4 linked regions of the Saccharomyces cerevisiae S288C genome follow. Changing the gene in region 1 together with any one later gene gives a genetic interaction. Each region holds a gene or a part of one and is shown on either strand. Other genes may lie near its edges.

Region 1 (4,510 bases):
GCTTTTAACATGAGTCAAAGCAATATTCTTATGTTATATAACTCACCCCATGTGCTCGTGGGCAGTGACGCACGCAACTTTTTCTCTTGCAAAAAATGGCATCGATGCTTTTCTGGGGAGGTGATATTAGAGGAGAAGAAGTCACAGAGTGCTCTTGGATCACGATCCCTCACTTGTACTTGTCCACTTATCAGCGCCGTCCAGTTACATTTGGAGAGATCTTTTTTTAGCCTGGCCTTCTTTGCTGTCATACTACTTTATATTCCGGGATAAAATATAAAGAAATATTAGTTAGGAAAAAATTAATAGGGAAGAAAGATCTAGAAGCAAACAGCAATGACTGCCGTCGCCTCTACTAGCGGGAAGCAAGATGCTGACCATAACCAGTCTATAGAGTGTCCAAGGTTTTCGCGTGGACAGAAAGAGATTTTGTTGGACCATGAGGATGCGAAGGGGAAGGATTCAATAATCAACTCCCCCGTGTCAGGGAGGCAATCAATAAGCCCTACTTTGTCGAATGCTACTACCACGACTACGAAATCTATTATGAATGCCACCGGCACCTCCGGCGCAGTAGTAAGTAATACTCCGGAGCCTGGTTTGAAGAGAGTCCCCGCCGTCACTTTCAGTGATCTAAAGCAACAGCAAAAGCAGGATAGTCTGACTCAGCTGAAGAACGACTCAGAAAGGACCAAGTCTCCAAATAGTAATCCTGCTCCTGTCTCAAATTCCATTCCTGGCAATCATGCAGTTATACCGAACCACACCAACACTTCAAGAACAACGCAATTATCTGGGTCTCCACTCGTCAACGAAATGAAAGATTATGATCCTAAGAAAAAAGACAGTGCTCTTAAAATAGTTGATACCATGAAGCCTGACAAAATCATGGCCACTTCAACGCCAATAAGTAGAGAAAATAATAAGGTAACCGCCAAAGCCCCCACCAGTATTACACTTCGAAAGGAAGATGCACAAGATCAAGCTAACAATGTTTCAGGCCAAATTAATGTGCGTTCTACCCCGGAAGAAACGCCAGTGAAGCAGTCCGTCATTCCTTCCATCATCCCCAAAAGAGAGAACTCCAAGAATTTGGATCCCAGACTACCTCAAGATGATGGAAAATTGCACGTGTTGTTTGGCGCTACAGGTTCGTTATCGGTATTTAAGATCAAGCCAATGATTAAAAAACTAGAAGAAATATATGGACGTGATAGAATAAGCATTCAAGTTATCCTCACTCAATCAGCAACACAGTTTTTCGAACAAAGATATACCAAGAAAATTATCAAATCTTCAGAAAAACTAAATAAAATGTCGCAGTACGAATCCACTCCGGCAACTCCAGTGACACCAACACCAGGACAATGCAACATGGCTCAAGTAGTCGAGTTACCCCCACATATTCAACTATGGACCGACCAAGATGAATGGGACGCATGGAAACAACGAACTGATCCTGTACTTCATATAGAACTACGTCGCTGGGCGGATATACTGGTAGTAGCTCCATTAACTGCAAACACATTATCAAAAATTGCTTTGGGCCTGTGCGACAATCTTCTGACAAGTGTCATTAGAGCTTGGAATCCGAGTTATCCCATTCTTTTGGCACCTTCTATGGTGAGTAGCACTTTTAATTCTATGATGACAAAGAAGCAACTACAAACGATAAAGGAGGAAATGTCCTGGGTCACTGTTTTCAAGCCGTCTGAGAAAGTTATGGATATAAATGGTGATATTGGTCTCGGGGGTATGATGGACTGGAATGAGATTGTTAACAAAATCGTTATGAAATTGGGTGGGTACCCAAAAAATAACGAGGAAGAGGACGATGATGAGGATGAGGAAGAAGACGACGACGAAGAAGAAGATACAGAAGATAAGAACGAAAACAACAACGATGATGATGACGATGACGACGATGACGACGACGACGACGACGACGACGACGACGACGACGACGATGATGACGAGGACGAGGACGAAGCAGAAACCCCAGGTATAATAGATAAGCATCAATAAATAGTCTATGAATTACAAATACACTAAACACATTCTACTTATTTGTGTTTTGTAATTTCTGGAAAAATACTCATTAGGCAAATTCACGCAGCATATTTACAAAATGTCACAAATTTTTTTCCTTTTTTACTTGCAGTAGGTATGTAATGCCATACTAGCGTACATAGAGCTCTTCATATAAACCGCTATTTATTACTAATTTTAATAATTCAGTAATTCATTAAATACATTCATTACTTTCTGGGTAAATATCTATTCGTTTCTCATTTTTCTTTTTTTGACATATCCCGGTACCGGAATAAGTCCGATACTATTCAAAAGCTTCTGGAAAAAAAAAATAAAAAAAAGAAATGATTAGTAATCATTTAATTTCATGACATATTAAAAAGGTATTCTAAGCAGAAGTCTTTCATCACATTTGATCTAAGCATATACACTGTAAGTGAAGGTATCGATGTCACAATACAAAACTGGTTTACTTTTAATACATCCGGCGGTGACTACAACGCCAGAGCTAGTAGAGAACACTAAGGCTCAAGCTGCATCAAAGAAAGTCAAGTTCGTGGACCAGTTTTTAATCAATAAACTAAATGATGGGTCCATAACTTTGGAAAACGCAAAATATGAAACAGTACACTATTTGACGCCAGAAGCCCAGACTGATATTAAGTTTCCGAAAAAGTTAATTTCTGTCTTAGCTGACTCATTGAAACCAAACGGCTCACTAATTGGTTTAAGTGATATTTATAAAGTAGATGCATTAATCAATGGGTTTGAAATAATTAACGAACCAGATTATTGCTGGATTAAAATGGATTCCTCTAAACTAAACCAAACTGTTTCTATACCACTGAAAAAAAAGAAAACGAACAATACTAAGCTACAGAGTGGTAGTAAGCTACCAACTTTTAAAAAAGCTAGTTCTTCAACCTCTAATTTACCCTCATTCAAAAAAGCAGATCACAGTAGGCAACCTATAGTTAAGGAAACAGACAGCTTCAAACCACCTAGTTTCAAAATGACCACTGAACCAAAAGTCTACCGAGTCGTAGACGACCTGATTGAGGATAGCGATGATGATGATTTCTCTAGTGACTCTTCCAAAGCCCAATATTTTGATCAAGTGGATACCAGCGATGATTCCATTGAAGAAGAAGAATTAATCGACGAGGATGGTTCTGGTAAGTCAATGATTACTATGATTACATGCGGTAAATCCAAAACTAAGAAGAAGAAGGCTTGTAAAGATTGCACCTGTGGTATGAAAGAACAGGAAGAAAATGAAATAAACGATATAAGATCTCAACAAGATAAAGTTGTCAAATTTACAGAAGACGAGTTGACCGAGATTGATTTCACTATCGATGGGAAGAAAGTTGGCGGCTGTGGTTCTTGTTCTCTAGGGGATGCCTTTAGATGTAGTGGTTGTCCCTACTTGGGTCTTCCTGCTTTCAAGCCTGGTCAACCTATCAATTTGGACAGCATTTCAGATGACTTGTAAACCCTGCACATTCGTTTCAGTAAATGACGTCAATTGGTCTACTTTGGTGAAGGTGAATTTTTTTAGATGCATTGATCGATTGACTTTGGTAGGTTACTAATTTTACCAAAAAGAGTTGGTAGTTTTTATTTTTTTAAATAGAAGAAAACAGGTACTCATTATACCGTGATTACCAATTTCCCAACCCATTATTTAACCCGTTATGTATATTGCATATATTTTGTAAAAGCGTTTAAGCTATTAATAAATCTATCATAACAGTACAGCTCAAAGGCAGGAAAAGATATTCCATAGTAGTCTTTCATGCGTACTTTTCTAACGTTTTAGTAACCGCATCAAATACATCATTCACGATCAAGGTAGGCTTACATTCCTTTAAGTCATCACCTTCGTTATACACACCTGTCTTCACCAAACAACTGTTCCAACCGTAATTTTGAGCTCCAATGATGTCACTTGCAGGATTATCACCTACCATAAAAACCGCATGGAATGGAGAAGTTGAAGGTTTCGTGCCTAAGAGTGGCAGTTTTTGCTTCACAGATTGGCCTATTTTCCCGCTTAGTCTTTTTTCCCAATCAATGAGAACATGATGAGCGAAATCATAAGTCAACTTTGTAGGCTTACCCAAAGTATAATCTTGCAAGGGTTCACCATTTAACTCGAGATAAAGCCTTCTAACTAGTAAGCGGAAGGCACCTTGTCCAAATCTATTCAATTTATAAGGATTGGCCCACAGTAAATCCTGGTTCGAAAAGTAAATGGGGATGGAAGGTTTGCCACTCTTTTCGTTTCTCAAGGTATTTAACATCCCATTTTCGCTGTTGATTGCATCTGAGATGATTTGTATATCGGCAGCCCAATCATGAGGATCGTTAAATACCAAGACGGCATCGAATTTCTTAGTGGTTAAATCTGGAATATCCCTTGAGTACTCCATCACTTGTTCATCAGATAGCCCACTAAATGGTGCAATGTCCCTAT
Region 2 (3,903 bases), on another chromosome or scaffold:
CCATCATTTTCTAGTTCTTCTTCTGCAATATTGCCTTTTGGGAAGAAGGATCGAAAGTAGCCATTTGCAGACACGTTTTTACTATATTTACTGTATCTTCGATTGCGCGGCTAAAGTTGCCATATTATTATTATATTGCAGCTCAACCCCGCATTTCCGGAGTTTTCTTTTTTTTTATTTGGGGTAATTTGGAGGTCGGCGGCTATTGGTGGGCCGGAAATGGTGACACACTTGTAATATATAAGGAGGAAATCCTACATGTGTATAAGCGAAATCACAAGGATAATAATGTATTGCTAAACACCCTCAAGAAAGAAAATAATCATAACGAAATCATGGGTATACCTATGCAAATATACCAGGATGGGAAGGGGGTGCAATTTTACCACACGAGATATCAGAACGTATTTGACGAACGGGCGAGCAAGTATGGCAACTACACGGTGAATAATGATTACCCACAGCTTCCAGATACGATAAAGGAACATATCGACCAGCTTACCTTTAGCAATGTCGGAGAGGATGGTGGAGATGTTGGAAACTATTCTGAAGAAGACGATGATGGTGACGAAGAAAAGGAACTTGAAGATGTTTTTCGAAGTAACCGTGGGTTGGAATTTGTACGGATTAATAACTATTTTACTACCCACGATTTACAAAGTTTCAAAAGTTTTAGAAATTTCAATAGCAAGTACTGGATTTTTTATTCTAATCAAGCAGAGGACAAAAAATTACTGCTGTATGACTTTAACGGCCAACATTTGATTTTTATTAAGCAGCAATTTTACGGGCAGTTGAATTTACTGCTATCGGACGCAATAATATGTATGGACTGCAATTTTGGTTATAATTCAAACACCATTCAAATTTTAGTTGGATTTCAGAATGGAAAGTTGTTAAAGCTAAACTGCGACTTGAACGGAAACGTAAACAATCACTTGCTTTTGAAGGATCCTTCAACTTCCTCTCATCAAAGCCACCTATCTATATTAAATGTCTGGGCAGGTTTGTTGCCACATTTCGTTGTTTCTTTTAGTTTGAAAGATGGGCTGCTAATAACTTCTTTAGATCACCAACAAAGCAATGGAAGTTTTCAAAGTTTCCATACCAACATTGATTTGCCTGTAGATCTACGCACGACCACAAATGTCAAGTCCGTTTTAAATTTCCCTCAGTTTACTTTATACAAAGGAAATGATATGATTTTCCACTGCAAGAATCTATTAGGATCGGATGCTTCCACGCTAAACAAGGAAATAAACTTTATGCTTAAAATAGACGAAGACGTTCAAAAGATCGACTATCTTCTTAAAACGAATCACATTTTACTCGAAACCAACATGAGATATCTGTCCATTCCAACAAGAGACCCCATAGAGAATTCAAATTCTTCTCCACCCGTCTCAGACAGCGAGGTTTATCCAATATTTTACAAGACACAAGAACTTCATGTCCATGCTTCAGGAACAGGACGTCAGATAGCAAACAATGGGAAGTATATTTTTATAACCGAGCAACATCTCTACGGAACAGCGTTATCGGTATACAAGTACTCTATATCTTTCAAACGGTGGCTGTTCGTGGGCTACTCAGACATTAGGGCCAAATACGGTATAAGGAGTGTCAAAGATCTCTTTGTTGGTAACTGTCCCTCTGTAAATAGCCCAGTGCTGACAATTCTTACTGATGACAATAACATTCAAACAATTCTTCTTAAATAAAGGTTAAGGAAATGTAAATAAAAAAAATAACAGTGACATTAATTTGTATATATCTCAACTTCTTCACTTTAACCTGTCTGAGCTGTTTGGTTTTGAACTGGAAGCACGTTTCTCATTTTATTGAACGATACCAGAGCCATTCATTATTCGATTGACGGTAAGCGGTATTGTGCGAAAAGCAAAGGGAAAAAATAGAAAGAACAAAAAAAAGAAAGAAAAAAGCACCGTAAAAAAAAAAATCGTTTCGTGGGCCGAGATCGGTAAAGTGGCTTTCTTTTAGTCAGAATTGATTTTCTTTTGATTAAGGCAAAAACTGTGCAAATTAAACTGATGGACCTATACATAATAGTGAACACGACTCATTCAAAAAATTTGTTGTAGTGACCAGAAACTCTGGCGCAAATTAATCAAGAGAAAGCGACCCCCAAGAAATGAAAGCAAAGTCGATGAAGAGCATAATATCTGTGCCAATATCAGTGTCTAAAACAGGGAAAATGAAGTTAACAGCATCTCCCGATAATCTAGCATCTATGATGTCTAAAGACCAAAATAAACTTATTCATTTAGACCCAGTTCCGTCTTTTGAGGACAGGCACGAGATTAAACCGTGGCTACAGAAAATATTCTATCCTCAAGGAATAGATATAGTCATCGAAAGATCAGATAGTAGCAAAGTTACTTTTAAGTGTAGGTCAGTACGATCGAAAGTAGGGTTGAACCCTAAATCCAAAGGTTCCTCTTCAAGATCCCATGCATGTCCATTTAGAATTAGAGCAGCCTACTCTGTGCGGTTACAGAAGTGGAACGTGGTTGTTATGAATAACATACATTCACATGAGCTGAGATTTGATTTGATTACTAAAACGGATGACTATAAAAAGTTTAAGGAAAATCTTCGTCAGAAGAACGACGAAAAAGCCATCAAAACATTTGATGAATTAGAATATAAAGCAAGTCTAAACTTACCACTCGTCACACCAATTATTTCTTGTGACTGTGGGTTAACCAAGGAAATTGAAGCTTTCAATAACATTTTTCTCCCACTATCAAACCCCCCTTTGACGTCTAAAAAAAATTTGCTCAAAACAAATAAAAACTCCGTTTCTAAAATAAAATCCAGACAGATGGATAATTCGAAACCTAGGCCAAGGTTGAAAACGAAGTTGGATGCGGATCTACATGATACCGGATTTTTAGACAATTTCAAAACGCGGAATTCCTGTGTAAAGATAGAGAAAGAAGATTCTTTAACGAACTTAAACGAAATTGATTTTACGAACATGTTTTGCAACGACAATTTCATCCAAAATTACAACCAAGGCCTGATGGAACTTTTGACAGAACCTACACCAGGTCCTTCGTCCTCTTCTTGTATACTTCCTTCAACACCAACGAGGCCCTTGTCACAAAGCAAAATGGATATAGCCCTGTCAGAATCAACAACATCTTCACCAAATTTTATGGAAACAGACGCTCCTTATGGAGATGAGATCATTAAAGTTTCCAAAGATACCAAAAGCAACGCACCAACTGCTGATACAGATATTGCTACGAACTTAGGCAAAGAGAGAAACGAAAATTTTGGCATGTTAAACTACAACTACGAAGCGTTGCTTCATTTCAACGATGAGCATTTTAATGAATTAAATTCTATTGACCCAGCCTTAATATCAAAATATTAATTATTTAGTTTTCAACTCATTAAAACGGTATCACGTTTAAATATGTGACAAGATCTGATGGACATGAATAATGGTGATATCAGCACCATCGAGGGATTTTGGACCTTAGACTTTTTAAAGCTACGGAGGACTTAAAGCATGTCGATACAAATAAGATATATCATGGCTTCATGCGCTCAAAAGTTTTATTCTTCAAGTTTGTTGATTATAATATGGTTCACGTGCGCTTCATCTTTTCATAGGTAATGCACCGCAACATTCAATTATCTAAAAAACTTTCAGGCGTGCCGGTCCCCTAATTTTTGCACTGAGATCATGAGATCAGTAAGTAAAAGCTCATATAGGAAATAATCATATAGAAAAAAGCAGAGGAATGATATTCGAACATTTTCTATACATCACCCCTCCTATTTTTAGATGAATCTCTAAGATCTAAATGCCCTCAACTTAAATATGATATTGAATTAAAATGAATTGTAGTATAGAAGATATTTAGGGCA
Region 3 (4,060 bases), on another chromosome or scaffold:
TCCAGTAAATTCACATATTGGAGAAAATGAAATTCATTTCTACCTTTCTCACTTTTATTTTAGCGGCCGTTTCTGTCACTGCTAGTTCCGATGAAGATATCGCTCAGGTGCCAGCCGAGGCCATTATTGGATACTTGGATTTCGGAGGTGATCATGACATAGCTTTTTTACCATTCAGTAACGCTACCGCCAGTGGGCTATTGTTTATCAACACCACTATTGCTGAGGCGGCTGAAAAAGAGCAAAACACCACTTTGGCGAAAAGAGAGGCTGTTGCCGACGCTTGGCACTGGTTAAATTTGAGACCAGGCCAACCAATGTACAAGAGAGAGGCCAACGCTGATGCTTGGCACTGGTTGCAACTCAAGCCAGGCCAACCAATGTACTGAAAAATGACCCTAAACTACTTCTAAACCCTCTCGATTTCTTTCACGTTCATACAACACCTAGTTTTATTTATTTTCTTTTCAATCTGAGTAGTTGAGTTTTCGATCACTCACATAGAACTATTTTTTGCCATTTAAATAAAGTATTCTCTCAAATGATGCGATACTATAATACTCTTTGCCATATATTACATTCATTCATAAATAGGCTATGTTTCTATATCCGTTTCCGATTCTGTCTGCAAGCAAGGTTCCCTATCATTACCGGATTGTTCACTATGGTTGGAGCTCTTCTTTTCCCCTGCACTTGCATCAGTCTCAGATTCAGAACCAGAAATGTCTCCGTAATCTTCATCCGATCTTCCTGCTGATATTTGAATACCATTGTCTTCTAAAGACACTAAATGTTTTTGAACATCACTGCTACTATCAGATTCAAAACTTATTGATTGTGTGTCATCTCCAAAAGAGGTAATATCATCGTACTTTTCACTGAGTTTATCTTTAGCAGTAATAATTGGCCTTTTAGAAAGTCCGAAAAATTGAAAGTCATCAAAATCGTCGTCTTCCATTTTGATCACGGATTGATTAGATATTTTTCTATTAGCTCTCCTCCGACTTGTGTCTTTCAACTTCTTTTGTAAATTTTGAGGCTCTACTACCGTCTTTCTTCGTTTCATTCTTTTTCCTGGAGAGTTTAACTCAGAAATTGGCTTTTGCACTTCCGTATTAATAAGCGCAGAATCTAAAACATCATCGTCAGACAATTTGATATTATTTTGTCGCAGAATCTCATGAAGCTCTCTTATTTTCTTCTTCTTCTCATTCAACAAGGTTACCATCATTGCTCTGGTTCTTTCATCACGTGTTTCTAAAAGCTTATCCAATAGCTCCCTTTCCCGAGCCAGCTGTTCAACTCGATTTCTATTGCTAGAATCGCTCTCCTTTATATTCCGGTAAGAATCGTTAACACAACAGATATCTTTATAGAGTTTATCTGCCATTTCAAATAAATCAATCTCTCCCTTTTTGACTGGATGCAAGGTAAGTTCAGCGATTTTTCTTATGATCGCCGATGACTCCAACTCCATAACTACTTTCCATACCTCATCATCTTGCATTCTGCACGTCCATTTTGTGAATACGACTTTTTCGTCTAACGATGCAATGTACACTTTGTGACCAGTTAACATTTTGAGTAGTTCATACCACACATATTTCTTAGACTCTTCATCGATATTTTCTCCCGTAAAGATTCGCAAATCATTGATTCCAAAACTGCTTTTGGAAAAAATTCCTGTACCTTCACTTACCAACATTTTCTCTATTCTAAGCCCTGAAAGACTGTTCTCATCTAATGTTTCCAACATAGCGCCATCTTCAATCTGAATCTTACAGAGGCCACGCTCATCTTCTTCATTTTGTTCTTCATTAACCACAGGGATACAGCTAATGAACTCCGTCAGCTGGGACATAGCACCCTACATAAATAAGTCATCCAATGCACAATTCTCTCAGTTCTATGCATTGACACGTCGAAAACTGCCGTTCATCTTATTATTCTTTAATATGGCTTTTCAAAATACGCTTCCGGGTACTTTTTCGGATTCATTAATGGTGTAATTAGTAATGCGTAGAAATATTTTGTATATAATAATAAATAACATGTTTGTCCAACAACTCGTAGGCTAGGCTAAACGTGAAGTCTTTCTGTTTTTGAGAACAACAGTATACATAAGTGATATCCAAGAATGACTGAGATACTACCACATGTAAACGACGAAGTGCTACCAGCAGAGTATGAACTTAATCAGCCGGAACCAGAACACTGTCCTGGTCCAGAATCAGACATGGCAGGTAAGTCCGATGCTTGTGGTGGCTGCGCCAATAAAGAAATATGTGAAAGTCTTCCGAAAGGCCCTGATCCAGATATTCCATTGATCACAGATAACTTGTCAGGAATAGAACATAAAATATTGGTTTTATCAGGCAAAGGTGGCGTAGGCAAGTCGACATTTGCCGCAATGCTAAGTTGGGCACTTTCAGCTGACGAAGATTTACAAGTAGGTGCCATGGATTTAGATATATGTGGACCTTCTTTGCCACATATGTTAGGCTGCATTAAAGAAACCGTCCATGAATCGAACTCCGGTTGGACACCTGTCTATGTGACTGATAATTTAGCCACCATGTCTATTCAATATATGCTTCCAGAAGACGATTCCGCCATTATATGGAGGGGTTCAAAAAAGAATTTATTGATAAAAAAATTTTTAAAGGATGTTGATTGGGATAAACTCGATTACTTGGTAATCGACACACCGCCCGGAACATCTGATGAGCACATTTCAATAAACAAGTATATGAGAGAATCTGGCATAGATGGTGCCCTTGTGGTCACCACACCTCAGGAAGTAGCTTTATTAGATGTACGGAAAGAGATAGATTTCTGTAAGAAGGCTGGTATCAATATTCTTGGACTAGTGGAAAATATGAGCGGATTTGTATGTCCAAATTGCAAAGGAGAGTCCCAAATATTCAAGGCTACCACAGGTGGAGGTGAAGCACTTTGTAAGGAATTGGGCATCAAATTTTTGGGGTCTGTTCCGTTAGATCCGAGGATTGGCAAGAGTTGTGACATGGGTGAAAGTTTCCTGGATAACTATCCTGACAGCCCAGCTTCGAGTGCTGTACTTAACGTTGTGGAGGCTCTGCGAGATGCTGTGGGGGATGTATAGTATATTTTATCAAAAAGAATAAAAGGAAGTGCATTAGAGGTCAAATCGTTTTATAATATAAATATCATTACCTTTAAATCTTAGACCTACTGAAGAACACTTTTACCATATATAATGCTACTAATTACTCCAAAAGCGTTAGCTTCAGTCCATGTTTTACTATTTTTCTTTTTTTTAGAAATAAAAATAAAAAAACTTATATCTTATATGTACACTTCATTAAATCCTGGGCAAACTCACCCCTCAAGTATGCCTTTTCTGGCTGCCCTAGGGGGAGCTCAAGCAATTTGGCCTTCGAATCGCCTATTGAAGGATTGTTTTTCTCCAATATTTTTGATACAATCTCTTGGGACATAACATTACAACATGCGGCCACTTCACGACAGTGCTTATACTGATCATAAAATATCTTCATACCACTAATTAATGAATCGATAGTCTCCTGCGTTTCAACATTATCCAACACAAGCTTTAGATATACTTCAAATACGTTTATACTTACACTCCATTTGTCCCTCTCAGAGTCTGGAAATTCGTTAAGAATTTCCCTCAAAGTTTTCAGTTCATTATTCTGTACAGGATTGTTTGATAACAACAGCCTTGGTCCTAATGACGTAACAATAGCCATTTCTGCCAAATCATAAGACGAACCCAGGAGTAGATTTTGTACTTCAGAAAGGTAATTGCCTTCATATCTATCTTTCAAAGCTTGAGCATTGAATATCAATTGCGAAGGGATCTTTAATCTATTTAAAATGTGATCATTGGTAGAGGCTCTTAACAATGTTATTTCACGCATAACAAGCCTTTTTATGGTATCTTCTGCTGCCTTGTCATCATTTAAAAAGCAAGAAACAAAAAGAGAGTGGCCATGTAATTGTGCAAATTCAAGTTGAGCGGCAAATGCGAATGTAGCCTCATCGCTAGTTTCCTTCG
Region 4 (3,933 bases), on another chromosome or scaffold:
TACTACTATCAACAGTAAGAAAAGATCATTAGAAGATAATGAAACTGAAATTAAGGTATCACGAGACACATGGAATACTAAGAATATGCGTAGTTTAGAACCTCCGAGATCGAAGAAACGAATTCACCTGATTGCAGCTGTAAAAGCAGTAAAATCAATCAAACCAATACGGACAACCTTAAGATACGATGAGGCAATCACCTATAATAAAGATATTAAAGAAAAGGAAAAATATATCGAAGCATACCACAAAGAAGTCAACCAACTATTGAAAATGAATACTTGGGACACTGACAAATATTATGACAGAAAAGAAATAGACCCTAAAAGAGTAATAAATTCAATGTTTATCTTCAACAGGAAACGTGACGGTACTCATAAAGCTAGATTTGTTGCAAGAGGTGATATTCAGCATCCTGACACTTACGACTCAGGCATGCAATCCAATACCGTACATCACTATGCATTAATGACATCCCTGTCACTTGCATTAGACAATAACTACTATATTACACAATTAGACATATCTTCGGCATATTTGTATGCAGACATCAAAGAAGAATTATACATAAGACCTCCACCACATTTAGGAATGAATGATAAGTTGATACGTTTGAAGAAATCACTTTATGGATTGAAACAAAGTGGAGCGAACTGGTACGAAACTATCAAATCATACCTGATAAAACAGTGTGGTATGGAAGAAGTTCGTGGATGGTCATGCGTATTTAAGAATAGTCAAGTAACAATTTGCTTATTCGTTGATGATATGATATTGTTCAGCAAAGACTTAAATGCAAATAAGAAAATCATAACAACACTCAAGAAACAATACGATACAAAGATAATAAATCTGGGTGAAGGTGATAACGAAATTCAGTACGACATACTTGGATTAGAGATCAAATATCAAAGAAGCAAGTACATGAAATTAGGTATGGAAAAATCCTTGACAGAAAAATTACCCAAACTAAACGTACCTTTGAACCCAAAAGGAAAGAAACTTAGAGCTCCAGGTCAACCAGGTCATTATATAGACCAGGATGAACTAGAAATAGATGAAGATGAATACAAAGAGAAAGTGCATGAAATGCAAAAGTTGATTGGTCTAGCTTCATATGTTGGATATAAATTTAGATTTGACTTACTATACTACATCAACACACTTGCTCAACATATACTATTCCCCTCTAGGCAAGTTTTAGACATGACATATGAGTTAATACAATTCATGTGGGACACTAGAGATAAACAATTAATATGGCACAAAAACAAACCTACCAAGCCAGATAATAAACTAGTCGCAATAAGCGATGCTTCATATGGTAACCAACCATATTACAAGTCACAAATTGGTAACATTTTCCTACTCAACGGAAAAGTGATTGGAGGAAAGTCGACAAAGGCTTCGTTAACATGCACTTCAACTACAGAAGCAGAAATACACGCAGTCAGTGAAGCTATTCCGCTATTGAATAACCTCAGTCACCTTGTGCAAGAACTTAACAAGAAACCAATTATTAAAGGCTCACTTACTGATAGTAGATCAACGATCAGTATAATTAAGTCTACAAATGAAGAGAAATTTAGAAACAGATTTTTTGGCACAAAGGCAATGAGACTTAGAGATGAAGTATCAGGTAATAATTTATACGTATACTACATCGAGACCAAGAAGAACATTGCTGATGTGATGACAAAACCTCTTCCGATAAAAACATTTAAACTATTAACAAACAAATGGATTCATTAGATCTATTACATTATGGGTGGTATGTTGGAATAAAAATCAACTATCATCTACTAACTAGTATTTACGTTACTAGTATATTATCATATACGGTGTTAGAAGATGACGCAAATGATGAGAAATAGTCATCTAAATTAGTGGAAGCTGAAACGCAAGGATTGATAATGTAATAGGATCAATGAATATTAACATATAAAACGATGATAATAATATTTATAGAATTGTGTAGAATTGCAGATTCCCTTTTATGGATTCCTAAATCCTCGAGGAGAACTTCTAGTATATTCTGTATACCTAATATTATAGCCTTTATCAACAATGGAATCCCAACAATTATCTAATTACCCACATATATCTCAATAACAAAACGAACAACATGAGATAAAACACGGCCTTCCCTAGCTGAACTACCCAAACGTATAAATGCTTGAACAATTAGTTTAGATCCGAGATTCCGCGCTTCCACCACTTAGTATGATTCATATTTTATATAATATATAAGATAAGTGACATTCCGTGAATTAATCTGATAAACTGTTTTGACAACTGGTTACTTCCCTAAGACTGTTTATATTAGGATTGTCAAGACACTGCGGTATTACTCGAGCCCGTAATACAACAATACACAGTTGTTACGGTCCTATAGTGTAGTGGTTATCACTTTCGGTTTTGATCCGGACAACCCCGGTTCGAATCCGGGTAGGACCTTTTTTAACTGTGGCTTCTCTGTTGAACCATCAGTTACTTTTTTTTTTTTTCAGAGAATGTGTGCCGGGTCATGAGATGCCAAACTAAGAGGTCATTAAAATATATTTCAAAGACTAAATGTGTTCTTTTCAGGTTCCATCTGCATTTTCTTTTAACTACACCTCGTACTGTTATAAACGCCACCAAGCAAGATATTACACAGCAGCAAAACTTTTTCAGGAAATGCCTGTTATTGAAATTAACGATCAAGAGCAATTTACTTACCTAACTACCACTGCGGCCGGCGACAAGTTAATCGTGCTTTATTTCCATACCAGTTGGGCAGAACCATGCAAAGCATTAAAGCAGGTTTTTGAGGCCATTAGTAATGAGCCTTCCAATTCCAACGTCTCTTTCTTATCCATTGATGCGGACGAAAACTCGGAAATTTCAGAACTTTTTGAAATCTCAGCTGTTCCATATTTTATCATAATTCACAAAGGGACAATCTTAAAAGAATTATCCGGCGCGGATCCAAAGGAGTATGTGTCTTTATTAGAAGACTGCAAGAACTCAGTCAATTCCGGATCATCACAAACTCATACTATGGAAAATGCAAACGTAAATGAGGGGAGTCATAATGATGAAGACGATGACGACGAAGAAGAGGAAGAAGAAACTGAGGAGCAAATAAACGCTAGATTGACTAAATTGGTCAATGCCGCGCCGGTAATGTTATTTATGAAGGGGAGCCCCTCTGAACCTAAATGCGGGTTTTCGAGACAACTTGTGGGTATCTTGAGAGAACATCAAGTAAGATTTGGCTTCTTTGATATATTAAGAGACGAATCTGTTAGACAAAACTTGAAAAAGTTTTCTGAATGGCCAACTTTCCCTCAACTTTATATAAATGGGGAGTTTCAAGGCGGTTTAGACATTATCAAGGAATCCTTGGAGGAAGACCCTGATTTTTTGCAGCATGCTCTCCAATCTTAAATAAATAGATGTATTTAGTGTAAATTGAAACAGAAAAGTCTCCATTTCCAACTAATGGTATGCAAGCATTTTTATATGTGTGACATAATGAATGGCTTCTGGTTAAGTTTGGCTTTTTGAACAACCATTGCCCGGAGAAAATAAACGCGTGAGCAGTAGCTGATACGCGTCTCACTTTTTCATAAATTCATGTATAGGTCATCGCCATATAGAGAAAATATTTGAAATTACATCTGTTGAAACTAATAAGAGCTTTTCCTTGGAGCCTTCTTTGCTAACAGATAAGATTTTTTAATTGGAGCAACTAGTTAATTTTGACAAAGCCAATTTGAACTCCAAAATGGCCCCAGCTACCCCTAAAACTTCTAAGACTGCACACTTCGAAAATGGCTCCACATCTTCTCAAAAGAAAATGAAGCAATCGAGTTTGTTATCTTTTTTCTCAAAACAGGTACCTTCTGGCACACCGTCAAAGAAGGTCCAGAAGCCTACTCCAGCGA

What was found.
Region 2: of DRE2 (region 1) and AFT2, changing one suppresses a phenotype caused by changing the other (phenotypic suppression), as found in Saccharomyces cerevisiae (one study listed by BioGRID).
Region 3: of DRE2 (region 1) and NBP35, extra expression of one rescues a mutant of the other (dosage rescue), as found in Saccharomyces cerevisiae (one study listed by BioGRID).
Region 4: mutations in DRE2 (region 1) and GRX3 impair growth when combined (synthetic growth defect), as found in Saccharomyces cerevisiae (one study listed by BioGRID).

What each region holds. Positions count from the first base shown.
Region 1 is NC_001143.9:573,950-578,459, reverse strand, and holds DRE2 (electron carrier DRE2), read left to right. Parts: upstream 1-2,479; coding exon 2,480-3,526; downstream 3,527-4,510. Other genes in the region: YKR073C (uncharacterized protein), read left to right, coding at 1-273; phosphopantothenoylcysteine decarboxylase complex subunit SIS2, read left to right, coding at 337-2,025; YKR070W (uncharacterized protein), read right to left, coding at 3,828-4,510. UniProt on the Saccharomyces cerevisiae protein: Component of the cytosolic iron-sulfur (Fe-S) protein assembly (CIA) machinery required for the maturation of extramitochondrial Fe-S proteins.
Region 2 is NC_001148.4:167,588-171,490, reverse strand, and holds AFT2 (Aft2p), read left to right. Parts: upstream 1-2,152; coding exon 2,153-3,403; downstream 3,404-3,903. Other genes in the region: CSM4 (Csm4p), read right to left, coding at 1-7; YIG1 (Yig1p), read left to right, coding at 336-1,721. UniProt on the Saccharomyces cerevisiae protein: Transcription factor required for iron homeostasis and resistance to oxidative stress. With AFT1, activates the gene expression in response to low-iron conditions, also called iron regulon.
Region 3 is NC_001139.9:341,120-345,179, reverse strand, and holds NBP35 (Fe-S cluster-binding ATPase), read left to right. Parts: upstream 1-2,137; coding exon 2,138-3,124; downstream 3,125-4,060. Other genes in the region: MF(ALPHA)2 (Mf(Alpha)2p), read left to right, coding at 27-389; LIF1 (Lif1p), read right to left, coding at 596-1,861; nucleocytoplasmic transporter NUP145, read right to left, coding at 3,321-4,060. UniProt on the Saccharomyces cerevisiae protein: Component of the cytosolic iron-sulfur (Fe/S) protein assembly (CIA) machinery. Required for maturation of extramitochondrial Fe-S proteins.
Region 4 is NC_001136.10:643,678-647,610, reverse strand, and holds GRX3 (monothiol glutaredoxin GRX3), read left to right. Parts: upstream 1-2,680; coding exon 2,681-3,433; downstream 3,434-3,933. Other genes in the region: mismatch repair ATPase MSH6, read left to right, coding at 3,774-3,933.